Lonchura striata: one gene and its partners. The protein of the gene in region 2 purifies or fractionates together with the protein of the main gene of each other region. This does not show direct contact. Links are inferred from orthologs where the notes say so. Each region holds a gene or a part of one and is shown on either strand. Other genes may lie near its edges. The genes, in order: ZRSR2, SF3B1, DNAJC8 and USP39.

What was found.
Region 1: the proteins of SF3B1 (region 2) and ZRSR2 purify together in Homo sapiens (affinity purification with mass spectrometry; 3 studies listed by BioGRID and IntAct, counting the BioPlex papers as one, with this or other methods). This does not show direct contact. The link is inferred for Lonchura striata from reciprocal best matches to the Homo sapiens genes SF3B1 and ZRSR2.
Region 3: the proteins of SF3B1 (region 2) and DNAJC8 purify together in Homo sapiens (co-immunoprecipitation; 4 studies listed by BioGRID and IntAct, with this or other methods). This does not show direct contact. The link is inferred for Lonchura striata from reciprocal best matches to the Homo sapiens genes SF3B1 and DNAJC8.
Region 4: the proteins of SF3B1 (region 2) and USP39 purify together in Homo sapiens (co-immunoprecipitation; 3 studies listed by BioGRID and IntAct, with this or other methods). This does not show direct contact. The link is inferred for Lonchura striata from reciprocal best matches to the Homo sapiens genes SF3B1 and USP39.

What each region holds. Positions count from the first base shown.
Region 1 is NC_134604.1:100,231,710-100,239,021, forward strand, and holds the start of ZRSR2 (U2 small nuclear ribonucleoprotein auxiliary factor 35 kDa subunit-related protein 2), read left to right. Parts: upstream 1-4,295; 5' UTR 4,296-4,362; coding exon 4,363-4,409; intron 4,410-6,162; coding exon 6,163-6,242; intron 6,243-6,387; coding exon 6,388-6,484; intron 6,485-6,787; coding exon 6,788-6,896; intron 6,897-7,186; coding exon 7,187-7,273; intron 7,274-7,312. UniProt on the Homo sapiens protein: Pre-mRNA-binding protein required for splicing of both U2- and U12-type introns. Selectively interacts with the 3'-splice site of U2- and U12-type pre-mRNAs and promotes different steps in U2 and U12 intron splicing.
Region 2 is NC_134610.1:28,287,100-28,294,529, reverse strand, and holds the start of SF3B1 (splicing factor 3B subunit 1), read right to left. Parts: upstream 3,006-7,430; 5' UTR 2,909-3,005; coding exon 2,881-2,908; intron 1-2,880. UniProt on the Homo sapiens protein: Component of the 17S U2 SnRNP complex of the spliceosome, a large ribonucleoprotein complex that removes introns from transcribed pre-mRNAs.
Region 3 is NC_134628.1:5,314,377-5,321,643, reverse strand, and holds the start of DNAJC8 (dnaJ homolog subfamily C member 8), read right to left. Parts: upstream 3,018-7,267; 5' UTR 2,950-3,017; coding exon 2,887-2,949; intron 2,082-2,886; coding exon 1,980-2,081; intron 314-1,979; coding exon 257-313; intron 1-256. Other genes in the region: ATP5IF1 (ATPase inhibitor, mitochondrial), read left to right, coding at 3,301-3,396, 3,547-3,659, 3,773-3,911. UniProt on the Homo sapiens protein: Suppresses polyglutamine (polyQ) aggregation of ATXN3 in neuronal cells.
Region 4 is NC_134634.1:361,683-369,689, forward strand, and holds the start of USP39 (ubiquitin carboxyl-terminal hydrolase 39), read right to left. Parts: upstream 3,009-8,007; coding exon 2,678-3,008; intron 2,082-2,677; coding exon 2,012-2,081; intron 1,932-2,011; coding exon 1,837-1,931; intron 1,418-1,836; coding exon 1,281-1,417; intron 1,156-1,280; coding exon 1,003-1,155; intron 462-1,002; coding exon 236-461; intron 41-235; coding exon 1-40. Other genes in the region: C32H2orf68 (UPF0561 protein C2orf68 homolog), read left to right, coding at 3,198-3,307, 3,412-3,527, 3,900-4,039, 4,508-4,630; MRPS24 (small ribosomal subunit protein uS3m), read right to left, coding at 5,859-6,142, 6,841-6,952, 7,308-7,376, 7,683-7,709.

The DNA of each region.
Region 1 (7,312 bases), on a different chromosome or scaffold from region 2:
AGGTATGTTTTTAACTGACTACTTTGTGAGGTGTTAGATTTCTAAGTAGTTCCTCTTTTATAGTATCTTTGTTTTTCCTAACTACTGTGGAGAAACAAGTCATAGCCATGAAGAATTTCATTCACGATCTGCATTCCAGAAATACCACTGAATTAGTGCAAAGAATTATTTCTCTTATTGTACCAAATGATTTTTTTTCTTTTTTCAATAGTTTTGATCTACAGAAGTTCATGTGCAAACTGTATGTACATATTTAAAAATGCATCAAAATTTGAACTACAAAAAAAATCTGGAGAAATTTGTTGAAAAGTCAAGAGGCATATGACTTGCTAAAACAAACAAACAAATCCCCTCAATCTTCTCCATGTGATTAGCAATATACTTTTTCTGCTCCTTTCAGTGTCTTTGAAATGGAAAATCCCAGGGAAGTAAAATATTGATAGCTATTGTATAAGTTAATTAACAACTATGGCTAAACTTAACCTCAGTTTTCAAATTTGACAAATTAACAGCTTTAAACTCTGAGGAAGTTAATCTTTAGTCTCAAAGAGTTGTGTCCAATTCTTACGAGGAAAGAGTCAATGTGTGACTGTCAGCATTAGTCACTCATGGAAACGTACCTGATGAACTGCAGACCTGAACAGCAGCTGTGCACAGTGCTGTGCAGTTCCCTGGGTGCAGTGGAAATGACAAACACTGCATGTCCTTTCCATGGGGGAACAGGGTGTTGAATGAGGACTGCCACCACCGTCATCACTGTAACAGTGCAGAAGTGACTTGATTGTCACCAAGTTTTATCAGTGCTCACAGAAGCAGACAGTGTGAGAAATCATTTAGCTCTCAAGACAGTAGTGCAGGTGGGGGAAGGATGCACTTGCCAGCATTCCCATATTCACCTTGGAAAGGGCACTTTGCAGTGGAAAGCACCAGGGACAGCCCACAGTGGGGCTGGCACTGAGGGTAAGCAGAGACTTCCAGCATGGAGGGGGTGGGAGGATGGTGCTGCTGCCACCACTTCATCATCACATTTGTATAATAAATGTCAACACACCAAGAAGTGTCAATGAAAACTGACCTATTCCAAACCCACACTTCCTGGATGTCTCCTACTTAGCACATATCTTCTGGGTCCAACAAATCCAAGTTAGTGATTTGACTGCCATTGTATTCTCTTATTTCTATTTGCATCATCCAGGAAAAAACCAAAACAGATGCACAATCCCATGAGGAAAGGTCCCACTCTTCTCCTGGAGCATATGGCAAATACTATGGTGAGGACAACTTTTACATAATCTGTATGCATATCAAATATAACTTTCTTTTTTCTACAGAGGGCTTGGGCATACAACAGAGTGAACCCTTCTTATCTGCTTACATCAGTCTACAATGACAGAAAATACAAGAAATGGAAACCAGAAGAGCCACGGGGAAAGGAAGTTCAAATACGTGCCAGAGAGGCACTGCACTTCAACACAGAGCTGCTCTCCTGTGCATGCAGAGCTCTGTGCATACATCTTGAAAGGCACACAGAGATTTATAATGCAATGTGGGACATCCATGGTAGTTACTGCATGGTATGTAACTACAAGCTGTAAGATAAAAGCTTCTGTGTTCTGGGCTGTTCGGTACAGCACAATCTGTGTATCCAGTATTGACCTTATGAGAGGGTTCATGTTGTACTGGACCATGAAGGAGCATTTTTCTTTAGAAAATATGGAAGAGTGAGTTCCAAAACCTGAAGGCTGCCACAAAAATAAACTATGCTTATGGAGGTCTATGGTCTATAATTCCAGTGTGAGGAATAAGAGCTACTGACTGGAATGCAGTGTTACTTTCGATATGTGAATGGCTCTTGCCTGGAATTGCTGTATCTTTTTCTTTCTGGCACTCAATCAATTAAATTATATGAAACTCCACACCTGCCTTGAAAATCAAGCTGCTATATTTATATAAACTAACAAAATAAACAAAACTGAGAAAAATGCAACTATTCTATTCTTGTTTTGAAGAGAATGACAGCTTTTTCCAGAATCATTCTGGATATCTGAAATAGCTGTTATGTTTTGTGTTTTCTTAAAATGAGATCCTACTTTTAATTGCTGAAATATATACGCTTAAAATGGTGCCTTCCCCAAGAACATTGGAAAAATGCCATGATGAAATGTAGCATACCAAAAGAAAGAAATGACAGAATTTCTCAATTTAGACTCATAAATAGCTTAAAGGGAGGTTAATATGGTACTTCCTCTGTTGACGGGCGGATGAAAGTTATAATTTCTTAATGAAATAAGATTATGAAACACATTTGGTTGTTTTTTTTTCAAAACTTTCATGGGTGTCAATGGTTCATCAGTTGTTAAATGCCCAATACTGCCATCTTCTGTATCCAAGAAACAGCAAATTATCTGTTACTTTACATGTATGTTCTGCACAAGGAACAGTGGAAGTACTACTGATGACAAGTCCTTCATTTTAAGAGAGTCTAGATCTGGCACACGGTTAAGTAACAGCAAAGAGTCATGGTCTGAATATTCATTGGTCAAGTGGCAAATGTAACTGCTGACTACAGCAGTCACATGCCTGCTTTGAATAACTTCACTGAGCTTCAGAGTAGGAAAGAGGATGCTCATTATGCTGTTAATAAACAGCACAGTCAATTAGTCAGATTTTGACAGAGCCTGCTGTGGTGTGCTTCCTCGTCAGCAGCTCCGGCTGTTTCTGCAGTGTTCTACCTCCAGGATACAAGAAATAAGCTCCTACACCGTGGTTTAGGAGAATAATTTATACCTTAATCAACAATGTACATTATTAATAGCCATGCAAAACATGCCCAAATGAAAGCTACAAGCACGCTGCCTCTGAAGGCTGCAATCTATCACTCCTGTCACAGAGGAATTGATTACTGACAACTTGCAGATTTCCACCATCACACCCATGAGGGTCTAAGTGGAATAGTTTCCTGCCATGAAATGCATTTATAATCAGGTCAGGTACAATGCCTCAGAGACAATGATGGGAATATATCTGCAGTGTGAGCTAAACTGATCAATGCACTGGAACTGTGGCTTCCCTCAGCTCCAAGAGCCTGTGGGGCAGGGCAGCCATGCCCACAGCAGCCAAGGGACACACTGCAAGTTCACCTCACGGCAGGCACCGAACAGCCCGCTCCCACACACAGCTCCCAGCACCAGCCAGGCAGCTCACACACGGAGCACAGGCTGGGGACATTACAGTCAGGAAAGGCCGAGGGAACTGGGCCTGTTCAGCCCTGAGGAGACAGCCGAGAGGAGACCTCATCAACACGTGTTAGAAAGGTGTCAGAGCATGGGTCCAGCTGTGGACCATATTCTCGTGCTGCCGAGCAGAACAGGCAACAGGCAGAAACTGATGCACAGGAAATTCCACCTGAACATGAGCAAGAACTTCCTTTACTGTGAAAAACGCCAATCACTTGCTTTAAAATTTTAAAAGTTTAATAGTAATAAAATGGTTATAGAGTAGTAAGAATTTAGACAGAGTTAGGACAATGAAGGACAATAAAAACAAAGAAATACGGACAGTCTGGATGCTTTGTTCAATACAGCATGACTGCTAACAAAGGAACAACCCTTAAAAGTCATAGCGCTTTGCATATTCACATGTCTCATACATGATGCAAATATTCCTTTCAAACTAGGAATTTTCCTGTTTTCTGTCAACTCTCCCCTCATCCTGTAGATCAATCCTTTCGGTTCCGAGGTGTCCAGATGTTGGGTACGGTCCAATGAAGAGGCCATAAAATCCCATCTTAGAATTTTTGGGGGTCCTGTTGCTGTTACCTCTATGTGAACAATTTCTTGCTTCTTATCCCTTCCCTGTGCTGGTCACAAAAAGGTATCTTAAATCACATAGCTTCTATTTTAATATTACACTATAGCCTAAAACTGTACTTACCACACTTCTTTCAAAAGATTAATAAAACATTACTAAAAAAGGACTAATACAACGTTACTTTCAAACATAACGCATATAGTATTCATTTTAATACTGCGAAGAGCTAATCATAGAATATTCAATCTTTTTCACGTTTACTGTGTGTGACCAAGCACTGGAACAGGTTGCCCAGAGCGGGTTGGAGCCTCCCTCACTGGGGATGGTCCGGACCCGCCCGGACACAGCGCTGCGCCCTGTGGTGGCCCCGAGCAGGGAGGCCGGGCACACGAGGCACTGCGCTCCTCACACCCGGCCCGGTTCTGTGAGGGGAGAGCTGGGACGGCAGCTCCCGGCGCCGCCCTCAGCCGCGGCCCCGCGGCGCGCGCCCGCCGGAACCGATCGCGCGCCCTTCCGCCGCGGGGTCACGTGACGTCCCGTCGGTCCCGCAAGATGGCGGCGCCCATGTTGGTGCCCGAGCCCCCCCTGGGGAAGCCGAGGTGAGGCCGCGGCCGGGCCGGGGCCGGGGCCCCCCGGGACAAGGGGAAGGGCCCGGGGGTCCCTGCGGAGAGTCGCGGCCCCGTCCTGGCCGGGACCGCCCGGGCGCACGACGGCCGCGGCTGAGGCCGCCCCGCGGCCGGGCCCGGCAGTGGCGCAGCTCCGCGCGGACGGGGGCACTGGGCTCGGCGGTTCTCGGGACGGGAGCGCGGCCGCGCTGGGGGCGCCGAGCGGGCCCGGAGGCGGCGCAGCCGCGGGCGGGGGGCGCTGCCGGTGCCGTTCCGTGCCGGACCCGGGGCAGCGGGGCCGCCGTGCCGGCCCGCCCTCGCTGCGGCGGGCGGGACAGCATTCCGCGCCCGGAAAGCGGCGGCCCGGACTGATGTGAGGAGCAGGGCAGGAGCGGCATGTGCGTGCCTGGCCTGAGCCCCGTCCAGCCCCGCCGCGGAGGCTGCGGGCCAGGGCGGCCGCGCTCACAGCGGGATTCCCCGGTCGGGCTCTCCGGGTGTTTGCCAAGGCCTTGCCCCGGTGTCGTGCCGCTGGACGCAGAGACGGACCCAGCCCTGGGGCAGCTTGGGCGCCGCTGCTCCTTGTGCGCCAGCTGTGTGCCCACCCCCTCCTGCGCTGGCCGGGGAGTAAGGGGAGTTCCTCCCTCCCTTCCTTCCTTGGGTTTCAAGAACAAGAAGTTCCCAGGAACTGGGAAAGAGCTTCTCGCTTGTCAGCCCCAGGCACCTGCCGAGGGCTGCGATCCATTTCGGGCAGGTCCCGAGGTGAGGACCGGCCAGGCTGGCCGGGCCGGAGGCAGAGGTCTGTGCGGGTGGGCGCCGCTGGCAGGACAAGCACTGTGGTGTCACCTTGGCACGCACAGGTGTGCACGCGGTGAGGATGTGAGCAATCCTGAACAGGACTGGAGATGTGGGTGACGTTCTGGCTGGCTGAGTTGCACTTGTGGAATCTTTTAAAATTACACACTCCAAAAGGGGAAGGTTTCAATCTCCCATCAGCATTTGGTGTGGCACAGTGACAAGAGCTGAAGATCATCCCTCCTTCCCAATTCTCCATTATGACCTGGTTAAGAAGAGAAAAGATAGAATGAAACTTGACAGAAAAGAGCTTAATGGGAAAAGGCTTTTAGACATTAGAGGCATTTTAGCCAAAGTGAAAACATGGTGGTGCCTGTAGGCAGCTGTTCAAAGCTATTAGACAAGCAAGGAAGAGTCTGGCCAAGCTTCTGTAGCAGAAGAGCAGTGCTGAGCATTGTCTGTGGGGGCTGTGGAGTGTGTTTTGTTAGCTGTGCATTGAGACTGCTGCCTGTGGAGAATATCAAAGAAGAAAAGAAAGGACTTGAACTTTCATGTTCTGTAAAGGAAAGACTAGAATGTGCTGAGAGTTGCACAAAAATTGTAGGGTAGGAGATCCCTAAGTTTTACTCCCTTATCTTGTCTAGTGACTGAGTTTCAGGAGCTGAAGGAGATTTCATGGAGTTGGTGATGATATTGAGTACTGCCGAGCTCATAAAGGTGACACCACATGTATGGTGTCTTCTTGCTGCTATCCATGTGCAAGTCTGAGCAGCGCAGCCACAGATTTACAGATTTCATTGTCACATCAGATGCTGCTGTGGAGTTACTGTTTCGTATAAATGCCTAGTAATTTTGCAGTTTGTGGGATTTTGTATTGCTTAAGGAAATTAAGTGAATGTATGACAGTAAAATTTGTTTGGCTGTCTTAACATAAGTAATGTTCTCTCATCCTCAGCCATCAAAAGTACAGAGCTATTCTGAAGAAGGAGAAGAGGAAAAAAAAGCGGCAGGCACTTGCCAAACTAAGAGACTCAGGTAACTGAAGTATTTGGTACTGTCAGTGGAACTAGAAGTGACTGGGTTGTTTTTGGGTTTTTCTTTTTAAATATGTCAGTTTGTGTATCTGTGTTGGCTGTAACATGCAGTTATGTAGATATATTGAATTGTGCTTTTTTTTCAGAAGCTGCAGAAAAAGATGAATCTGTGTCTGAGGAAGAAGAGGAGGAAATGGAAGAAGAGGAGGAAGAAGAAGAAGAAAAAAAACTTGAGGCAGAAAGGTGAGAAATATAGAAAATGTCATATGGGCAATAAACATTTTTGTAATCAAATCCATTTTAGTACTTTGAAAAGTTTGAATATATTCTGTGCAACACAATCTTTATTGATTATGTCAAGCTACACAGTCCTTTCTTCTAAAGCCTGAGTGATTCCTATGGAAATTTGTATTTTCAGTAAGATTAAATAAGATGCAGCTATTACTGTAGTAATAAATACAATATTGAATTGTATTTATGAGAGTTGCATCAGTCATGGGTAGTCCTTAAGTTGATGGTTTCAGTGGTGTCTGGTTTCTTTGTTAGACAAAAACTACATGAGCAGTGGTTGCTGAGAGAAGAAAAGGCCCAAGAAGAGTTCAAGCTAAAGAAAGAAAAAGAAGAGGCTGCAAGAAAGCGTCAAGAGGAAGAAGAGGTATAAAGATATAAAACCTTACAGTAGTGCTAGACAACAAGATAGACTTAGTGTAATAACTGTGATGGACCCTTTTTCTTGATGCTGGTGTGTTTGAAAGCATAGACTCTCCACTCTTTGTATAGAAAAGCACAATTGAAAAGAGAAGAAAACAACAGCTCTTAAAATGGTATTTGTCAGATTTAGTTGCTTCTGACTGGATGAAAACTTAATGGTCAAGCAGTTGTAGTGAAACATGGTAATTTTGATTGATTGTAAAGTGTTGTTCTTTATTTTTTTTAATTATAAAGAGGAAGATCAAAGAAGAATGGGAAGAGCAACAAAGAAAAGAGAGAGAAGTGGCACAGCAGAAGCAACAGGAGAAGAGAGAGAGAGAGGTGATTTGTGGTGGTGGGAGGATATACATGTTATATGTC
Region 2 (7,430 bases):
CAGTGGGGGGATTCCTGCAGTGCAAGTGTCAATACAAAAATGTTTTCCTATTGATAGCTCTTACTAGCACTTAACAATGCCTTGTCCGCCAACATTATTTTTAAAACAGCTATATTTCATGAAGAGGGTGGATGTGTCACTCATTACTGGCCTTCTCTTTTAAATTACAGGGATTACAGCTGCTGCCGGGGCAAGGAGCATTCTCATTTTCCTACAGCAAAAACCTACTGGGTTATCTATAACAAAAAAACGAAGTCTATATAGGCTCAACAAACCTTACTGATAGCCACCCTAATTTTTTATTAATACCACACAGCCTCCAGGTGCCAGTTTAAATGAAGCACTCTACCCACAAGAGCCCTTGAACCAGGAGCCTGTGGCCACAGGTAGCCTGTGTTTGAAAAGCATCACATATTTAGGTGGAAAATGCTATTTTGACATTCAAAATGTGCCAGTTAGCTTCCTTGAGCTAACTGGCACTTCCTTGAAAAAGCTCACACCATACTTAACAAAGCTCTTTAATAAAAAGCAAATTAAGAAAGAGTGATCACAAAGCTTAAAGACACTGTGCAAAGCAAACTACTTGTTTGATGGCTTAGTCGAGCAGGACATAATGGAAACTTCACTCACAGAGAAACAGTAAAGGGAGTGGGATATAAGGGTGGAAAAAAGAGAGGAGGGGAATAATATTCTACTGATTGCTCCTTTTCTGTATTTTACTCTATGTATTTTGGTATTTTAGCAGAAGTAACTTCAACAAGCAGGTGATTTGAAACATACCATAAATGCTGAATATTATTACAGCTGAATATTATAACACTTTATTCAAAGTCACTGAACATCTAGCTCACAGAGAGGCTTCCTCTAAGTATGTGCTCTGATACCACGCATGTAGTTCTATTCTAAATGTTAAAAAAAAAAAGAAAGAAGACCCTGTGCTGGACAGGTATTTTAGAGTAAATAGGTTCTATGTTTTCATGTCTTATCATATTTTTGCACATTTAGCTTGCCCTTACATGGCTTTATTTTTAACTACTTTAGCACTCTTACGCATGTTAGATCTATTATGTTTGAAGATCTCTGTTCTCTTCTCAGCAAGGAAAAAAAATTAAAATAAATACGACCTTCAACAGCATTGAAAGCTCATGCACTTATTGAGGCATTATAAGCTGCCACCTGAAACTTCACTTTTCGGCCTCAAACACAGAGTCCCCCTTTAACTATGTAGCTGACATGAACTCCAGCTCTTTTGATGCTTCTTTCAAGCTGTATCTTGAACACATCAATTAAGAAATATTTAATAAACAGCACAAATATATTAAAAAAACTTTAGGATGATTTAGTAACAAACAACTCAATTCAAAAGATTAGTGAGGAACTGAAAAAAATAGGCTACCACCTGGAAGCAAAATAATCAAGCTGCTCAGCTAATGCCTCCATGCTGGGAAAGACCCTTAAGTGATCATACCCTGTTATGTCTATTTTTTATTTAACTACCCTCCCCCTTAAAACCTGTTCTGATACAACACTAATCAAAACACATGCAACTGAAAGCATGTCAATGTTTTCACTGAAGCCAATGCATCACCATTTGCTCCAAAAAATAAGCAATTTTAGCTTGGAAACAACCAGACCTCAACAACTGTACTATTTTATGACAAGAATCTCTTCAGGTAGTAGGAGAGGCAGAGCACTGTGATGGGTAAGGCTCACTTGGGTGCTATCACACACAACCCTTATGCATGTCACATTATATAAACAAAGGACAAGACAATTTCTGTAATTATATAAAAATACTCTAGAATTCTAAAAAATAATTGAAAGTAAGGACAACAGTTTAAGCTTTTCTTCGTCCTTAAAATCAGATTAGGTCTGTAGTGTTAAACACTACATTAATCTCACTTCCACGGGAGATGATGGCTTTCCACTTGAAAAGCTTTTTTCAGTAAAAGCTGAAAAAAAAATTAAAAAAATACTAAAAGACAATGAACGCCTAAGCGCCCTGCCTACCTCAGTGCACAACCACCATCCAGAGGCAGTTTCCAATTAGTGAATTATGCATATAAATTAAAACAAAACACAGCAGAACACCTATCGTACAGAGAAACACGAGAGAAAAACCCCGAAGCAAAAACAGAGAAGCAGTGTAATTCTACACATTATTCTCGGGTGCAAGCCGCAGCCGATGCCCACAAAGAGAGCTTTGATTCCCTCCGAGAAGAGCCGAGGCAGCAGCGCACGCAAGAGAAGGAGAAGCACACAGCGCCGGGACTGCCCTGAGCCGCTGGATCGCTCAGGGAGCCGCTGTCCTACGTCAACACCCGGCCGGCAGAAGTCTGTGCAAAATGGCAGCTCGAACGCTCCAGCCCTCACGATCCTTCCCGTCCTTCGGGGCACTCCTCTCAGCAAGCACGGCGGCGGCTCGGGCCGCGCCGCTTCCAGCGGGCAGCGCCCGTTCTGCGGCCGCCCCCGGCGCTGTTTGCCGAGGCCGAGGGGCTCGGCGGGGACCGAACGCGCGCTGTTGGCATTTCTGACGCGAAACTCGCAGCGGCACCGCGGGCCTTGCACAGCGCACCGGCCGAGCCTCGATGGGCGGAAGGAGGCGGCCATGGGGAGTTCAGCGACCGAGCTCCCCCGCACAGGCCTGGCCGCCGCTCCGGCCCACGCCAGCACAGCGAGAGCTCCCCCTCATGCCCGCCCCCCGCCCGGCCCGGCGCTGACGAGCGCAGCCGCCATTACACACATGCCCTGTATGTGTGCTCCTCCGCCCGAGGAGCCGCGCCTGACGCTGCCCGGAGCCGGGGAGAAACACAAGCAGCGGGCGATGTCCAAGCGCGGCGCGAGCGGGCGCGGACACGGGGCTTTCCGGGCTATTTTTACCTTCGTGGGTCTTGGCGATCTTCGCCATTTTGTGCAGCGCCAACGACGCCGAGGCGGAACTGGCGCGGCCCCGCCGCTTCCGCCACACGGGGCCGCCAGAACCGGCAGCGCGCAGGCGCGGCCGCCGTCCCGCGGGCCGGGGGCCAGGCCACGCCCACCGTCTGATGGACGGCGCGCCCAGCCAATGGCCGTGCGGAGAGAGGCGGGGCGCGCGCTGAGCCCGGCCCGCCGTGAGGGAACTTCCGGTGAGGGCGGGGCAAATGGAAGCGCCAAATATGGGGGCGGTTCCTGGAGACTTCCTTCCCACAGCCGCTGAGGCTGGGCCCCACGGGAATTTGGGTGCTCAGCTCTGTTTGCCAAATTGCCTGACGTGTGTTTCATCTGGTCAGGGTAACTGGCTCAGTGCCAACAGGCGGATCGCTAGATATCAGAAATAAAGCAGATATATATTTATTGCTACAAGATGGGGGTTAACCGGATTCAAGTCAGTTCAGTATTTTAGGAAGGGCTCGAAAGAGGGAAGGGTAGTTGTGTTTACGATATTGGCAGATGGCACCAAACTGGCAGGTGGAAGAAGGAATTGAGAATAATCTTACATTGATTCATACATGGAATAATCTAAGATCACAGAGGTAAGCTTCAACAACAAAAAGCAGAAATTACTCCAAATTGGAATTTTAAGTCACTATATGAATTTTAAGTGGAAAAAATAGTCAGAAACTGATGACATGGGAAATCAAAGCTATACGACTATCTGTAGCAATATGCTGCTGCAGTGGAATTAAGTCTTACTCCAGGCCATTAAAAATTGTGCCACATACAAAACCTGAAAAGCAATTTACTTAGCTCAGTCAAAGCCACTGATGGTGTCCAACAGAGACTTGGGCAAACTCAATATAGTCTAGAAGCGAGGAGGAACGATCAGATGTTTATGAACATGACCTAGTGTGGATGTAAACAAATTGTTCAGCTGTTCTGCAATAACTGACCTCACACCACTTCCACATTTCATTTGGGAATTACTAACTTTTTTCCCCAGATGATATATACACATTTCAGCATCCCTGTCTATTGTATACCTGATAACTAAATAGGATTGATTCTATCCACATGCAAAGCCTTGGGAACTCTCCCTTACAGTCAAGTGTTGTGAACAAGCTAGTTTTTTATTGTCTCAGCTTTTAATAGTAGTAAAATACCAAGGCTGGCTATGCAACCTAGGTTCAAAGTCCACGATTGCTTAATGATATTTCATAACACAGTGTAATATGTAAACTTCTAGAGATTATTTATTATCATGTGGCTTTATTGTACACCTGCTAAGTCCCTAATCTCCTCAAAAGCTTTTGCAACAAGTGATGTCAACTTGAGAACTTCCCATCAGGTAAAATGCATAAACTGTTTCTGAAAAGGGTGATAAATGCACGATGGCAAAACCCATATTGACTCTTCACTAATCACTCTGCTTATGCAAGCTGGTAGTTCACATTATGGCTTTTTGAGGGTTGTCTTAAAGAAAATAATGTGAAGCTCATGTTTTTGTGTTAATACATGTATTTGATTGACCAACTGATCTAAAGATCTGTCAGTCTGCTTTGTGTTGATTGGTTTGCAGGAGTTTGCTGAACAGTTCTGCTTTTAATAATTTACTAACTACATGTACTCAAATGTTAAGAGTGACTGTCACTTGAAGGTGCACAAAGTCTTCTGTTCTTTATTCTCAGCGTTATTAAACTCACATTCCACATTTCTAGAAAGATGCACTTGCACATACTCACAGGCTACAAAAGGAGATATTTACCAAGCTGCCCAGAGACATGTGACAGTAAGGTTGAGGCAAATTCCCTGCTGCAAGAATTTAATGCATGCAACTATTTTAAGTAAATGTCACATGCTCAGATTCACTGTGAAGATCAATTTGCAGTAACTTTCCCTCCTTTCTTCAGCCTGACTTCCAGTTTATGTTAAGCAGAACAATTACAATATTTCATTTCTTCTGTTATTAAGCAGACCTGAGCTAGGCATGAGGTCTCGAGGAACGCTTTAAAGTCATAATTCTGAAATGTGCCATTTCACACATAAAAGAGACTTATGTGTTGTGAGTGCTAACAGAAATTGTGCTGTGATGAAACAATGAGAAAACTGCCTTCTACTTGTGTCTCTTCCCTGCTTTTCCACCGAATTCTGTATGCTGCCCCAGGTTCTTTTTGGCTGCCTGTCAAATCCCTGAATATGTACTTTTGCCTCCTGAACATTAACTCCATCACACAGCTTCCACAGAATACGGACAGGGCTGTTACTTAGTGGTTTACCAGCCCTACTGAGTTCCCACCCCTTTCCCACACATGCAAGTGAACAGCGAGTTCACAGAGATTCCTGTATGCATTTGAAACGGATTTAAGAGCACTCAAGCTTTGCAGATCAGGAATCACACCTAAGGAACAGACCTCCAAGGTCCCACTTTATGTAAGATTCAGGTCCAATTTCACGGGCAGCTTAAGCTGTCACCAGCTGGCACTGCTGCTGGAAGAAATATCCAGACTCTTTGCCTGGCCTTGATTGACCCCATCTATTGTGCCAGCAGAACTTTCTGGCACTGTTTCACTCAAAGAAGGCAGGCTCTTGACTACATCCTTGTGCTACTTCTTCCAAAAGTAATTTTTTATTTGTATTAATTCCCCCCCACCACCCACCCATGCTGTAAAGAGCTGTAGAATGAGCTGACATTAGCAAAATGCTACAAACCTGGGCTAAACTCCTAATCCTTCATTCTGCCCAGGTCTGTGCTTAGCTTCACGTGCCAGGGACAGTTCACTGACAATCACGTGTCTGTTAAAGGGCAGAAATTCTTAAAACAAAGAGAGGAAATATTTAACTGTAGCAGCTGTGTTTCAACTCTGCACAAACTTCTCAAACAACATGAGCAAGAAAAAAATAGCACAAAATAAAATCTCTTCCAGTCGCATTTTTGTTTCTGATGTCAAGAAGAAATAATGTACAAAGTGACAATTTTTTTGTCACTGGAAAGCAATGAGTTAAAAAATACACATTGGAAGATAAGCTTTTTGGACAATTTTAAATGGGGGCTGCTTTGTGTTCTGCAGGATGTGCATAACCTGAACACAAACCATTTGTGTCACTGCTGGTAAGGGGGGCCTGAGGAACATAAATCAAAGATGGGATGGGACTGTCATCTGTGCTGCCACAGTCCTGTGGGCTCTCCTGAGGGAGTCTGAGGGTGTTTTTGTAGATTTTCTGCCAAGAGGAAGCAGGCTCCAGGCCCTGTGTCCCAGCTAACGCTGTCCCAGGGCTGGCAGGGCCAGGGGGGTTGGGTAAGGGCTGCTGCAGACACAGCCCTCCCCACGCAGCAATCCTCCCCCAGCCTGCCCGAGCTGCGCCCGGGGCTGCATGCTTTGGTGCAGATCATGTTCTTCCTGAGCAGTTTAATAAATACAGACAGTACTATTTTGGAACTGGGACAGAGTAAGAACAGAGTAGCTGGATTTCAAAACCGTCTGTGAGCAAATATGCATTGAGATTTAAACCTTTTTTGGATTTTTTTGGTCCACTGAAACCTTATGAAGATCAAACAAGTTTAATCCTTTACACAACATGTTCACAGCCAAATACTTCAATTATTACTAACACCAAGTTCACTGGCACTATATAAAATATAAGAAAATTTATGTGATTTTATATCCTGATGAATCATCTATGTTTGTAGATAATTTTTCCCAGCCTACATGTATATATTTTGAGATCTTTCAAAGGCAAATATTATTCAAAACTCATTTGTAAACAGGAACACAGTTACTATATTTTTGCTTTCCTCAGCATATCTCTGGCTACCTAAGGAACACACTAAACCAGCTGCTCTTTTCACTTATCTGTAGGAATAGAGCTTTTTTTTACATGGGGATATGCTCTCCTCCTTGTCAAAGATTGACTCTTTCCCCTCTGAAAGGTGTCCTTAAAATTATTGTTTTTAATAGTATAAACCTCATAGTTAGAATGTAAACCTAACCTTCTAATGATAGTAGTATTATAAAAAATAACATTTAGAAAAAAACAACCTCTGTGGTCCTACAGTACATCCCTTTCTAGTGTATCAGAAATCTTGCATCCCTCTGGTGTTAAGGATTAATTTGGACCACTCTTCCAGTCAGAGTTAGTAAACACAGCACTCTCTTCCAGCAACAGGTATCAAGCAAGGTTTAAGAACTTTAATCTTGAGCCTACCAAGAGAAAACAAAAAAGGCAAAAACTCCTCAAAGTGCCTTAAACATCCATCACCTTGAACTACTCGATGCCTGACTCTTCAATTATTCTAAACACCTAAAAACATCAGTCTTTGTGAGAGGCATTTCCTGATCCACTAGGATTCACTGAGCAAGCTAGAATGACAGACACAGAATCCAGCAAATAATAGCAGCACTCGTGGAAGTTGCAAAACACAGATGAGGTTAGTAATAAGGGTTAGAGGAAGGGAGGACAGCATAGGACTGGGGCTTTGTTTGCATTTCTGTCTTTGCAGTTTGTTTTTCACCTGC
Region 3 (7,267 bases), on a different chromosome or scaffold from region 2:
CATGGCTATATCAGCTGGCAATAGCCCCATCACACATGGCACTGGCAAGGCAGCCTATCATGCTTGTACCAGGGACACTGCTGCAGCTCTCCTCTTGTTGATACAAGCATTGTTCTATGCATTTCTGCCAAAAATAGACACTCCTCTACCCAGATACAGCTTTACTACCATTTTTCTTGTATCCACACCCAGCTGCACAATCTCTCCAGCACTTTTAGCTCCCCTCCACAAACTTTTGAGTGCAAAAGTTGAATACCTGTCGGAATCTTTTCTTTATCTCTTCATCTGTGGCTTCAGGATCCATCTGCAGCACCTAAAAGAGACCAGGAAAGCAGAGCAAGTTTGATGCTGCTCTCCAAGTTTCAGGGTCCTGTCAGCAAGCTCGAACACTCTCATGAGGAGTGGCTGAAGTCACTTGGTTTGTTCAGGAGGCTGAGGGGAGAACTCAATACACTCTTAAACATCATTCCAAGGGGCAGCTCAGGGGCAGGTACTGACCTCCTCACTCTCATGATCAATGACAGGACATGAGGAAACTGCATGAAAATTAGTCAGGGGAGGTTTAAGTTGGAGATCAGGGAAAGGCTCTTTCCCCAGAGGGTGCTGGGCACTGACCAGGCTCCCCAGAGAATGGGCACTGCCCCGAGGCTGCCAGAGCTCCAGGAGTGTTTGAACAGCACTCCCAGAGATGCACAGGGTGGGGCTGTTGGGGTGTCTGTGCATGGCCAGGGGTTGGACCCAAGGATCCTGATGGGTGCCTTTCAACCCAGCATATTCTGTGATTCTGTAACACTTGCTTCACTGGCACACACCAGAAAGCTTGCCCCAAAACTACATGAATTTTCACCCAGTAAAACAAACATTTCACAATCTTGACATTTGTGACACTACTTTTAGCAATGCTAGATTCCTCTGGCTATGGCAGTATGCTTTCTATGTTCAAGTCTTGTGCAGACAGCTACGATCCATAAATTGGTCTGAGCCTTCAACCAGTCCTGCAGCAATGCTCAGTCTGACAGAGACTAAAGCATATGGTGGCCTGGGGACAATGTCAGGTCACTCATAACTTAGAATGTTGGACAGGAAACATACTACTTTATAAGAATTTATTAATTCTATTATTTTGAAAGAAGACTGTAGAGTTTTACTGTTTGGTTTCCATGAGTGACACCACTTGTTAATTGAACTTTACAGATGTGGCAGAGTTTAGGAACTCCTTTGTGAATTAATTTACTGAATACAAGATTTTAGCAACAAGTGAGCAGATGCTGGTCTGATTCTAAGAATCTGTAAATAAAAAGCAGTCTCCCACAGGAAAGCTACAGTCTACTCTGAAACAGCTTTCTAAATTTACTCTTTAAGTACTAAGACCTATACAAAACTGATCATTGTCAAAGTGAACCTGCTGACCAGCCCTCAACTGGGACTACAAAAAGCACCTGAGGCTTGAAAAAGGCAGCAAAGATGACACCAGGAAGGAAAATGACCAGGGAAAGCCAACTCCAGATGAACGCAATATTGTTTATTTACTGCCTTCCTCAGGCTTTCCTACTTGTTATGACTTTATAACTGACAATGGTTCCTCAAAGACTACTCACTACTGTGACCACTGAGACCTCTTCTTACTCTATCCACCATACAAGTTCAGTGGGATGAACACTCAAAATAAAGCACACAACTACAAATGCTGAATTAAGAGAGCTATGACCAGAACCTGCCAAGCTACTACCTTCCTCTTCAGAAAATACCCATCCAAATCTTCCAGTGCTGCTGTATGAGGGAAATGTGACAATGTACAGTTTGTCCTGCCATCAAACACTGAGAAAGAGAGTGAGCACATATACACCATCCTGCTCTCCTCTGCAAACCTTCTGCACAGTAATCTGTACCCAGAGAAATTTCTTCTTTCCTTATAAATACTCAACAATCAGGAAACTCACACATCAATTCAGAAATGAGGATAGAATGTTCAAACTAACCTCAAAAGGGTTCAAGTTGAAATATGAAGATCCAGGTCGGGTCAGCCGGTCAATTTGGTTTTTTGATGTTAAAACAGAGTCTCGTTTTTCAATTTGCTTTACCTGAAGAACAAGAGAGACCTGTATCAACTGACCATCACAACCTCTTTATTTATTCCTCTGTACTACAGCTCATAATGCCCCTTGCTTACCCCAAGCCTGTAGTTATTTTCTCAAGCACGAGCAGCACATATTTTTTAGCCCTTCCTACAGCCAACAGTATTTTCAACATCACATTTTACCTATAAAAAATACTGCAGAATAGTTCTGTTTATTTCTTCTAAGGCCTGCTCTACAGCTGTGCCTTCCCTCCTCTCCATGCACCTCCAGCACTTCCGTCGCTGTGATGCCTTGGAAACCACGGCATTATTTTAACCCGTTGTTGGCAGTGCAGCCCTTCAAACACGTTAAATGACACTGATGCAGACACACAAATCCGCTTTACTTTGACTACGGGTTATTCAGCTCAGTTTTTGCCCTTCACAGTACCACGCCGAACCAAAGCATGCATTTCTACTTAACGTTCACTTTTATTTGAAGAAATATCCAGCGAACTTGCACGGCCTCAGAACCCCCGCTCAGGCCGCACCCCGGGGCCCGGCAGCCGGAGAGGGGCCCCGGTGACAGCCTGCCCACAGCCAGGCCGAGCAGGACGGGAGCGCACGGCTCCCGCCGGGCTCAGCGCAGCGGAACGAGGGCCGACCGCGGCCCCAGCCCCGGGCACCACCAGGGCTGAGGGAGGGCCGGAGCGAGCACCAACCCACCCCGACAGCGGCTCCGCCCGTCCCGCCCGCCGGCGGCCCCCGGCCCCGCGGCAGCCCGTGTCCGCGCGGTGCCGGGGCCGGGCGGTACCGGGGGCGGGCGGTACCTCGTTGTAGAAGGTCAGGAACGCGTCCTCGGCCGCGCCCGCGCCGGGCCCCGCCGCCGCCATCGCCACCCACACGTGACCGCGCCGTCACCACACGTGACCACGGCGCGCGCCGCAGCGGTAGGCCCCGCCCCGACTCGTGACGTCACACGCACCACCCCGCCCCCGCGGGGCTCTGGGGGCGGGAGGAGGGCGGGGCCGCGGCCGCGCAGGCGCGGCGGGAGGAGGGCGGGGCCGCGGCCGCGCAGGCGCGGCGGGAGGAGGGCGGGGCCGCGGCCGCGCAGGCGCGGCGGGAGGAGGGCGGGGCCGCGGCCGCGCAGGCGCGGCGGGAGGAGGGCGGGGCCGCGGCCGCGCAGGCGCGGCGGGGCGGGGCGGGCGCGCCCGGCCCGTCCGGCGCTCCAAGGGCAGGCGGCGATGGCGGCCGTGGCGGCGCTGGCGGCGCGGGGCGGCCTGCGCGGGGCTCTGCTGGCACAGCAGCAGCGCTGGAGCTCGGGATCGGGCGCCGACCAGGTGGGTGTGCCGAGAGTGCCCCTTCTGCCCTGCGTCTGACCGTCCCTTTGTCCGTCCTCCGCTCTGCCCTTCTGTCTGACTGTCCCTATGTCCCTCCGTCCGTCACTCTGTCGCTCTGTCCTTCCGCGCTCACCGCCGTCTCTCCCGCAGCTGGGCGAGCTGGGTAAAGGCGCTGGGAAGGGCGGCGGCGGCGGCGGCTCCATCCGCGAGGCCGGCGGCGCCTTCGGGAAGAAGCAGGCGGCCGAGGAGGAGCGGTACTTCAGGTGAGCGGGGCCCGGGGCCTGTGCAGCCGCTCCCGCGGGCCCGGGGCACGGCCCGGCCGGCCTCTCCGAGCCCTCGGCTGCGGGGCTGCACCTCCTGCCGTCCTCTCTTGCAGGGAAAAGGAACGCGAGCAGCTCTCTGCCTTACGGAAGCACCACGAGGAAGAGATCCACCACCACCAGAAAGAGATTGAGCGTCTGCAGAAAGAAATCGAGCGCCATAAGCATAAGATCAAGCAGCTTAAAGATGACTAAGCTGGTGCTGTTGTTGAATGTGCATGGCCAATACTGATCATGGTGTAAAACAGCGTGAAGACTGTATTTTTTGGTCAACATAATCCAAATCCATACAATTATGGTCTGCAACAACATCAAATAAACTACTCAGTCTCACTTTCTTGCCAGTAACTGTTCAATGAAAACAAAAACAACCAACCTCACTATCTTGTTTTAAACTTCAATTTTTTCCAAAGTAAGGCTGCACTCTTGAGTAGGCAGAACTGAGCTATTGTTTTTTTAGATTTGTGTGAAAGAAATGACCATTTGTGCCTGGTGGGGTAACTTTAAAACAAGAAGAGTTGGGGGAAACGGTACCTGTAGCAATCCATTGGCAGAGAAGTAACTTTGTTTCAAGTAAAATGTCTATGTGGCATAGAGGGCTGTTACCCCACTGAACTAGCAGATCACAAAAAAAAAAATTAAGGTTCACTTGTTGCACTTAGTGTTTAGTGCCATAAAGTGAAAGAGGAAAATAGTATTCATAAACTGAGAGAGCAAAATAGCATTCAAAGTTATGCTGGTGTCACTTGTGGCCCTAGTCCCTGGAGCAATACAGCTGAGATCCTGACTTCTTTGTGAATGTTCTTTTCCACAGCGACTTTAAGTACCCAGTAGATTAGTTTTTTTTACTGTTTCAACTTCTGTGTTCTTTAGTTAAGTCTCTTTCCAACAAAGCATGGCTTAAGACTAATTTTATGCAGTTTCAATCACTTTTGCCATTTTAATGTAGGAAGGAAACTCATCATAAAATACCCAGTAAGTGACCTGAAACAATGTGGCCTTACTGCAGTAAGCACTGACAAGAAGGGGACTTTATGTATCAACAGGCAGGTAAGAAAAGAGTTTTTCTGTCATACCTGTTATGTCTGTAAATCTGCCCAAACAGGGTTAATGTGCAGCACTGGTGAAAGCTGCTTGTTACAGTCAGTGAAGGGTGGCAGCGACATTGACTGGGTGGGTCCGTGCCTGGAACTGCCCTGTCTGAAAGTGCAGGAGGCAAATGATGCCTTTGATGTTGAAAGTGGTTTACAAGGGTGTGACTGCCTGGCTGAAGGTGTCCCAGTTTCTCCTGTGTTCCCTGATACATCCCCAGCCAGCTGCTCCCTTGGGGCTGCCCTCACCTGGTGAATATTGCAGGTAGTGGCACATTTATCTGCAGAGTGAGTGACACCACTGTCACTCTAATGTCCTTAAACCCTCTTCTTCAATGAATATGTCACCCATGTGATGAGCCCTGGAAGAGAGGCTATGGAGTGTCCTTGCCTGGCCATGCTCAGTCTGTGGTGTGGTGAGTTCTGCCAAGGCTGTGTGCAGAGCTTCCTGTGGGCTTTGTTCCTTTTATTTGGGGCTAATTAACAAATTACAAGCACCCTCCCCACCTCTCTGAACCTGGTGAGATGAACTGAGTCATGAAAAGCAATATACTATTGGGTTTGGGTTATAACTATTTAAAAATCCATTTTTTTGCCTTTTTCAGAATGTTTTTCCAGGGTTGGCTTCCCCAAAAGTTGCAGAGTCACTAGTGAGAAGTTTGGCACTAACAGCTTCAGTGAACTGTGGAGAGCTGACATAAATATTAGGCCAACTCTGTATTCAGAAAGGAACAGATGAGGGTTTAAATTCACATCTCTGGGTTTTATTCTGCATTTTGGTGTACTAACTATGCCATGTAAACTCAGCCACAGAGCCTCTGCCCAAGCACCTGTAAGGGGGAGGATTTGCTATGAGACTGGGAATGCAGAGATTTGGACCTTTGTACCACTGCTGAATTCCCTCAGGGCTGCAGTGTGCAAGTCAGTACCTTGCTACACCACAGAGCTTTCTTGCCCACCAGCAAATGACATGAACATTTAAATGACTTGCAGCAAGCAGTTTGGGTTCACTCACCACTTCCAGGGCCTGTGGATGGAGAGATGCCAGCTACAGACTGTTTGCTGCAGGATTCCAGAGCAGGAATGCCGGGGAGTAAAATAAGATTATACCTCAGACTGGGTGGTTGCTGGGGAGTTAAAAAGGCACAAGTTGTCAAGAGACCTTTCCAGGATTCCCCCTCAGTCTGTGCAAGCTGGAAGACAGGGCTTAGTTTTCTTTTGGAAAGCAACAAACATCTGCCATCTAATTCTGGTTCAGAGCAACCAAAACCCAAAGCTGATGTTTGAAACAGGTAAGGCTGCAAGGATAGTGCTGAACTCACATCACAGGCCACAGAGGGACTAATTGTTCTGGGTTTCCTCAATTGCTCTGGAATGGCTGATGGCATGACTAGTCCCCTGCTTTGTCCCCCAGGCACAGGGGTACACAAAGGAAGGGATTCTTCTCTCTTCTCTGCCAGAACTGGTGCATCTTGATTATTTGCTAGTTCTTCAGGGTTGGATTGACCCTATTCACAACACCCTGACTTCCCATAGCCACCTACAGTGCAGCTCCATGAAGAGTTTCACTTCTTGGAGCAGATGCTTATCCTTAACACCAGATCCTCTGTCTGTACTGTGCTTCAAAAGATCACAGCCCAGCACTACTTAGCTACTGCAGGAGAAAGAAAAGTGCAATTTATTTTCAGCTAAAACTGAGCTGGTGATTTTTGCTGCAGCAAACAGAAGCTATTTCCCAAGTTGCTTGGTTTCTGCTGCATCCTACACAAATGTGATGGAAATTGCAAATAATCCTTGGCTCAGGGGTGGGGGAAAAAAATGAAAAGAAAGGAACGTGAGATCCAAGATCTTTAGCAAGCTGGTTTTAATGCAAGGCACCCAGGTAGCCCAGTCTGGTCTCTTTGGGCCTTTTTGTCACACTCAACCTTCCCACTCCAGAGCAGATAAAGGGAAAGAGGCAAGACAAAGACAAAGCACATGTGTGTGTTTTCCTAAAAATCAACTACACTGCCTGTGTGAGGCAAAATAAACATATGTGCACAGGGTAATAACAGTAGCATGGCCTCTGCAGGCAGAAATTTTTCTGAGCATTTCCCTGTTGTAGAGGTCGTGGAACACACTGAGGGCGCTCAGAAAGTTTCTTACTGATAAATAAAGCTTGAAGATTTTTAAGACAGACCTCCCCCTGAAAGCCTGGGATTTAGCAAACATGTAGGAGCTGTTCTCTGAGAGCTCCAGAGAACAAGGTATTTACTGGAGGTGGGCACATCTGTAATATATCATCCATTATATGCTGCACACTAATGATTGGTCAGGGTAAGAAGTCTAGAGCATCAGGAAATGTAATATTCCATCTATAAGTTAACAGCTCACCTACAAATTACATCAGATTCAACTCTGTCATCTTGCCATTGATGTGGAACACCCAGGAATTTCAGCCCAGTGTGGAAGGGAAGCGAC
Region 4 (8,007 bases), on a different chromosome or scaffold from region 2:
AGCGCGTTCAGGAACCAGGACAGGAACTCCACCCCATCCCCTGCAAGAGCAGAGCTAGAGCTGAGCCTGGGTCCTGCTGCGCCCCAAACCCAGAGCCCCCAGAGCAGCCCTGCACCCCCAGAGCAGCCCTGCACCCCGAACCCAGAGCAGCCCTGCACCCCAAACCCAGAGCCCCCAGCCCCAGCTCTTCCCCTCAAACCCAGCTCTGCCCCCAGCCCTGTCCCCCAAATCCCACCCTGCTTGGTGATCTGGAAGTTCTTCTTGCTGCAGAGCACCACGGCCTGCAGCATCTCGTGGGGCGACACGTGGGCCTTGAAGTTGCGGGGGTTCCAGAGCTTCCTCATCAGCTCCCCGAAGCGCTGCACCAGCAGGAACATGATGTCCCCGGGCGGGCGCTGGATGCGCCGGTAGTTCTCCTCCTCCAGGAAGTAATTCCTCAGGGGAGGCACGTTGGACAGGGCCTGGGGATGGAGCAGGGGGATTCAGCCCTGGGACCCCCACAGGAGGGATCTGGGAGGGGCTTTGGGGCAGGCCCTGCACTGCCATGGGCGGGGAATCTCCACAAGCCCCCAAGCCCCCATGGGTGGAGAAGCCTGGGAAGGATCCAGAGGTGGGGTGATCACCCCACAGAGGGGTTTGGGGAGGTTTATGTGGGGCTTTCACCCTAAAAGGCCAGCTGCACCCCCCAGGTGTAACACCTGTAGAAGAGAAGGTGGGATCCACCCTCAGGACCCCCAATGTGGGGTTTGAGGAGGATTTCAGAGGGGATTCAGCCCAAAATGAAGGCAGCACTCCCCATGTGAACATGCTGTGGGAAAAGAGGTGGGACTCATCCCAGAGAGCACCAGAACAGGATTCTGGGAGGGTTTCAGCCCAGAATGAAGCCTGGACACCCTCACAGTGTACAGCCCATAGGAGACAAGGTGTGATATCTGCCTGTCAGACCCACAGTGATGTTCTGGGGCGTTTCACCCCAAAAGGAAGCCTTAACCCAGGTGTCACCTGGAGCACAGCGTTGGCGTAGTCGTTGGCCTTGATGTTGTTGAGTCCCACGATGCCAGGCAGGTACGTGGTGCCATCGTAGGCCCGGGACAGCTTGGCCTGTTTGTCCAGGTGGGCAATGTGCTGGGCTGTGAAGGTGGGCTTGAGCACGTACTGTGGGGGGAGAGAGCCCTCAGAGCTGGGGGACCCCAACCCAAACCCCTCAATCTGGAACAGATCCCAACCCCTCGATCCTGGAGGTCCCAAGGCAGCCCCGGTGCCCCCCAGTGCCCCCGCACCGTGATGTCCTCGAGGGAGGAGTCGATGATCTCGTAGTTGTCGGGCAGGCAGTAGAACTTGAGCGTGTGCAGGTTGAGGAACACGTGGTGGCTCAGCTGCACGCTGTGGATGTAGGCGTGTGACTTCAGCCCGCGGCCTGTGGGGGACAGTGGCACCAGGGATGGCACCGAGCGCCGTGCCAGAGGCAGGGGGCACAGAGAGGATCCCCTGGGCACGTACGGGGGCTGTGCCCACTGGAGGGTCCCTGAGCACCCCAGCAGCCACCCTGGGTGTCCCCATGGTGTCCCTCCCCTCTTTGTACACCTTGGCAGCAGCCTGTCCCTGGCTGTTCCCTGTCCCTGGGTGTCCCCAGCAACACCCCAGACCCCCTGTGCCTCACCCCAGTCCCTGGGTGTCCCCCTCACCACCACCCCTATGCCCAAGTGTCCCTCAAAGCAGCACTGGGGTGTCCCCCATCACTCCTGGGCTCTCCCTCGGGTGTCCCACATCACTCCTGGCTGTCCCTCGGGTGTCCCACATCACTCCTGGCTGTCCCTATGCCCCAGCAGCTCTCACCCTGGAAGTACTTCCCGCAGACAAGGCAGGCATAGACGTTGATGTGGGACAGGGAGATGGAGCAGAGCTTCTCAAAGTCGAAGTCCAGGACACTTCTGGGGGGCAGAGCGGTGTCACGGGGCTGGGGGGCAGCTGGGGGACCCCCAGGGGCACCCCAAAGAGCCCCGTCACCCACTTGTTGATGGTGTCCAGGTAGGGGCAGTGCCGGCTGCGCTGGTCCTCGGGGTCGAAGCGCCCGTAGCGCACTGGGGAGGGCAGGGTGTGAAAAGGGGGCACGAGGACCCCGAAAACACGAGGATGATCCCCCCAGCCCCCTCTGTGACACCTCCAGGGCTGAGCCTCCAAACCCTGCCCAGAGCTGAGCTCAGGACCCCGGGACCAGTCCTGGTGACCCTCCAGTATCAGAACCCCCCAAACACCCCACTCCCACCCCAGAACCCCCCAAACACCCCACTCCCACCCCAACCCCCCCCCCCCAAATACCCCACTCCCACCCCAGAACCCCCCAAACACCCTCAATGTCCCCTCACCCCCGGTGTCCCCTCACCCCCGGTGTCCCCTCACACCCCAATGTCCCCTCACCCCCGGTGTCCCCTCACCCCCGGTGTCCCCTCACACCCCGGTGTCCCCTCACCCCCGGTGTCCCCTCACACCCTCATTGTCCCCTCGGCCCCGGTGTCCCCTCAACCCCAATGTCCCCTCACACCCCAATGTCCCCTCAGCCCCGGTGTCCCCTCAGCCCCGGTGTCCCCTCACCCCCGGTGTCCCCTCACACCCCAATGTCCCCCCAGCCCCGGTGTCCCCCAGCCCCTCGGTCCCACCCGCTCCTCCCGGTGCCCACCGGCGGGCTCGGGCTCGGGGTCCGAGTCTCCATCGGGCTCCCGCTCCCTCTTCACCCGCACGGGCGCGGCGCTGCCGGAGCCCCCCCAGACGCCGCTGCCGGTGCCGGTGCCGGTGCCCGGTTCCCGCTTGACGCGCGCCAGATCCACCGGCAGCGCCTCCGCCGCCTCCCGCCGCGCGCGCTCCCGCTCCGCGTCCCGCCGGCCCCGCGGCCGCTCGGCGTCGGCGTCGCGGCGGCTGCGGGAGGCGCCGCGGGGCTCGCGGGGCTCCCGGGGCTCCCGGGGCTCCCGGGGGTCGCGGGAGTCGCGGTCCCGCCGCCCCCGGCTCGACATGGCGGCGGTTCGGCCGCTGTGCGCATGCGCGGCGCGGGGAAGGGGGGCTCAAACCGCCCGCCTTACTCCGCGCATGCGCGGCCGCCGCTGCGGGGAGGAGGCGCTACTGCGCCTGCGCGCGCGCGCCGGGCCCGCGGGGCTCTTAAAGGAGCCGCGTCCCGGTCCAGACCGCGGCCGCCGGTACCGGGAATGGAGGCGGCGGCGGCGGCGGCGGCACCGGGCTGGCGCTGCCGGCCCGGGGGACGGCTGGACATGAGCCACGGCTTCGTGCGGCACATCCGCCGCAACCAGCTCGCCAGGTACCGGCATCCCCCCCGGGACCGGCGTGCGGCGGGGTCACCGGGCCGGTTTGGCGGTCCCGGGCCCCCGCAGCCGGTAACCGCGCTGTGCCGCCGCCGCGCAGGGACGCGTACGAGCGCGCGGTGCGGCAGGCGCGGGGCCGAGCGAGGACGCGGCTGACCCCGGGCCCGGCGCGGCCCCGGCGGCCCGACCAGCCGGTGTACCGGCCCCAGCGGGGCGGCGGTGAGCGGCACCGGGGCACGGGGGCACCGGGGCACGGGGGCACCGGGGCGGGAGAGCCGCGCTCCCGAGGGACCGCGGTGCGGGGAGCCCGGGGATGGGCGGGGAAGGGGCGGCAGCCCCGGGGACACCGGGGTGGGGGGACACCGGGGGTGGGGGGGGACACCGGGGAGCGGAGACACCGGGGGTGCGGGGACACCGGGGGACCGAGGGTGGGGATGGGGACACGAGGGTGCGGGACACCCGGGGATTTGGAGGGACACCTGCGATGGGGACATCCATGAATTGGGGACACCCGGGATGGGGACGGGCACCGCCGGGACGCTGTCCGGTGGCCCCGGCGGCCCCGGTAGCTGAGGCGCGGTGCCGCAGGCGGGCCCGGGGCCGATGCCAGCGCGGGGCCGCCCCCCGCGGGCGGCGGGGCCCCCCCGGAGCCGGCCCGGGGACCGCGGCTCTTCTGCCTCGAGTACGAGGGGGACGACGGGCGGGTCACGGCCGTGATCGTGCACCAGGTGCCAACCGGGGGCCGGGGGGGGATCCCACGGGGCATCCCGGGGGGTGTCCTGGGGGTCCCCGGAGACAGTGGGGGTGTCCTGGGGGGTCCTACGGGGAAACCCGGGGGGTGTCCTGGGGGTCCACAGAGAGAGTGGGGGGGTCCCACGGGGAATCCCGGGGGGTACCCGAGGGGGGTCCGTGGGGCAGGGGGGCTGCCCGGGGCAGTGGGGGGTGTCCTGGGGGGTCCCCGGGGGCAGGGGGGGTGCCGTGGGGGGGTTTGTGGCACAGTGGGGTACCAGGGGCTCCCCAGGGCACAGTGGGGTACCAGGGGTGCTCCCTAGGGCACAGTGGGGTACCAGGGGGTCCCGAGGACACAGTGGGTGTCCCGTGGGTGGGCCCATGGCACAGTTGGGTACTGGGGGTCCCCGGGGCACAGTGGGGTACCGGGGGTCCCCGGGAGCCCGAGGGTGACGTGCGTGCCGCAGGGGGACAGCGCTGAGGAGGTGACCCGCCGGGTGTGCGCCCGGAGCCCGCTGGAGCCGCCGCTGCGCCGGGCCCTGTGCCAGCGCGTGCAGGACGAGCTCAGCAAGCGCCGGGGCACCGGGTGACACTGCAGCAGCCCCCGACGCTGCCACCCCCGTGGTGACACACCGCAGCCCCCGACGCTGCCACCCCCGCGGTGACACCGCTGCGGCCCCGGACGCTGCCACCCCCACGGGACCGCCGCTGTCCCCCCACCCCGCCGTCAATAAAGGTGCTGCGAGGCTCCGGTTCTTTCACTGCTGGGGAAACTGAGGCACGGGGGGAAGTGACGCAGCTCCTGCGTCCCTGAGTGTCACTTGTCCCCCTCAGCAGCCCCGGCAGGGTGGCCCCGGGCACCGACGCTGGCTGCCAGGTCCTCCCAGGTGCCACTGTGTCCCCTCCCTGGGTGTCCCCAGCTCTGTGTGTCCCCTCCTCAGGTGCTGCTGTGTCCCAGGGTCGCCTCTGCGTCCCCGTCCTGCCCCCAGCCCAGGTTGGTGGCACCTGTGGCCAAGGCCAGCTGTGCCCAGGGTGTCCCCAGGGCGGGTCCCCTGAGCTGTTGTCCCCAGGGTGGGACATGGGGCTGATTGTAGGGGTGGGACCACCCCACTGCTCTCTTTGTAGGGTCTGCCAGCAGCGAGGTTACTGCAGGGTCTGCCCCAGGCAGATTCTGGTGTTTATTAATTGTAGGGTTTCCCTGGAGGGTCTGGCACGTTTGGTATTGTAAGATTTTCCTGGAAATCCCCCGGTTGGTTTGGGATTGGAGGATCTCCCCCAGGCTGATAGCACAGCTCTGTTTTTGTAGGGTCTTCCCAAAGAGCTCTCAGTATTTGTTGTAGGGTCTCCCCAGAACACATCCTGGTGTTTATTTATTGTAGGGTCTCCTCAAGAGTTCATCCTGCTGGTTTGTTATTGTGGAGTATCTCTGTATCAAATTCTGGATTCTTAATTTTTGTGGGGTCACCCCAGAACAGATCCTGGTATTTATTTATTTATTATTATAGGGTCTCCCCAAAGTTCATGCTCCTGGTTTGGCATTGCAGGGTCTCCCCAGAGAGCTCCTGCTGCTTGTGGCAGTGTTCCCCTCGAGAGGGTCTCGCTGGGTTTTTGTTGTAGGGTCTGTTCAGAGCAGATCTTGGAGTTTATTCACTGTAGGGTTGTCACGAGGATACCCCAGAGCATTCCTTTAGGGCCATTTTTAGGTTTATTCCCAGCCCTATAGACACTTGTAGGGCACACTGAGGATACCCCAGGGCATTTCTTTAGGGTCGTTTATAGGATATTCCCTGTGGGATGTTTATAGGTTTATTCCCGGCCCTAGAGGTACTTGTAGGGCACGCGGGCGGGCACGGTCTGCAGCTCCAGGCGCACGGGGCACTTGTAGAAGTTGCCCAGCAGGGTCTCGGCGTAGCCCAGCAGGAAGTAGAGCTTGTGGGGTGGCAGTGCCCGGCCCAGCAGGGCACACACCACCAGCAGGTTCCCGCGGCGCTTCAGCACCAGCTCATCCGCCAGGAGCCCCGGGAAGGTCCCGGCCAGGAACCGCCGCAGGAACGCGTCCTCGATCGCCCGCTGCGCCGCGCCCGCCTCGCCACACAGGTTCCCTGAGGGCACAGAGAGCTGGCACAGCTGGCACAGGGTCACTGCCCACTGTGCCGTGCCTGCCTCGCCACGCAGGTTCCCTGAGGGCACAGAGAGCTGGCACAGGGTCACCCCCTGCTGCACCATGCCTGCCTGGCCACGCAGGTTCCCTGAGGGCACAGGGTGGTGGCACTGGTGACCGCCCCTGTGCCATTCCTGCCTGGCCACACAGGTTCCATGAGGGGACACACGGGTGGCACAGCTGGCCTTGGTGGCTGCCCACTTTGCCTGCCTGACCACGCAGAGTTCCCTGAGGGGACAGGGTGGTGGTGGCAATAGTGGCACCACCTGTCTCCTCTGTCCCACCATGTCCATCTTCCCCCTGTCCCCAATGCCCGTGTGCCCCTTGTGCCCCATCCCTGTGCCCCCTGTCCCCCATGCCCGTGTGCCCCATGTCCCTGCTGTCCCCGTGTCCCCCCATGCCCATCTGTGCCTGTGTCCCCCCGTGTCACCCACCGGTGTGCAGGGACAGCCAGCCCATGTCCCCCCGTGTCCCTGGTGTCACCCACTGGTGTGCAGGGACAGCCAGCCCCTGTCCCCCCGTGTCCCCCCATGTCACCCACTGGTGTGCAGGGACAGCCAGCCCATGTCCCCCCGTGTCCCTGGTGTCACCCACTGGTGTGCAGGGACAGCCAGCCCCTGTCCCCCCCGTGTCACTCACCGGTGTGCAGGGACAGCCAGCCCTTGCGGTGCCCGATGTGATGGGGTGCGTGCGCCTGCTCGTACGTCACCGCCTTGTCTCCCCTGCCTGCGCGCACCCGCGCCGCCCGTGCCTGCGGGGACAGCCACAGTGGGACAGGGACAGGGACAGAGGGGACAGGGACAGGGTACAGGGGACAGGGAGAAGGGACAGGGACAGTGGGACAGGGACAGCCACAGTGGGACAGGGACAGGGACAGAGGGGACAGGGACAGGGAGAGGGGACAGGGACAGGGAGGACAGGGGACAGGGACAGTGGGACAGGGAGAGGGACAGCGACAGTGGGGACAGAGACAGTGGGGACAGGGGACAGGGACAGTGGGGACAATGGGGACAGCAGGGATAGGGGACACGGGGGACAGGGTGACGGGACACAGGGACAGGGTACACGGGGCCAGGGGACACGGCCGCGGGGTCCCGAGGACTCACCTTGAGGCACACGGGGCTGCTGTGGAGCTGCCGGGTGGCGCTGGGGACACGGAGGGCGCGGGGGAGGACCTGCAAGGGGACAGGGACAAGGCTAGGGACAGGGCCAGGCAGGGGCCAGGGGACAGCCTGGCAGGGCCAGCCCTGTGTCCCCAGTGCCACCACAGCCCCTGTCCCTCCTCCCCAGAGCCCCCCACGCCCAGCGCCACATCCCCGCTGTCCCCACAGCCGCTGTCCCTTGTCAGCGCCTTCCCCGGTGTCCCCCACGCTCAGTGTCCGCCGGCGTTTTTCCCCCATTCCCGGTGTTTCTCCCATTCCCGGTATTTTCCCGTTTTCCCGGTGTTTTTTTCCCTTTTCCCATTCCCGCTCTCCCCTCACCCGCAGCGCGCGCGCGGCCGCCGCCATCTTGGCTGTGCGCGCGGTGGCAGCGCCCCCTGGCGGCGGGAGGGTGGCGCGGGCACCGGGGGGACTGGGGGGGACGAGGAGGATACTGGGAATACTGGGAGCACTGGGAACACTGGGAACACCAGGATATACTGGGAGCACTGGGAACACTGGGAGCACCAGGATATACTGGGAGCACTGGGCATACTGGGAATACTGGGAGCACTGGGAACACTGGGAGCACCAGGCTATACTGGGCATACTGGGAGTACCAGGCTATACTGGGCATACTGGGAGCTGCTGGATAGCAACTGGGAAA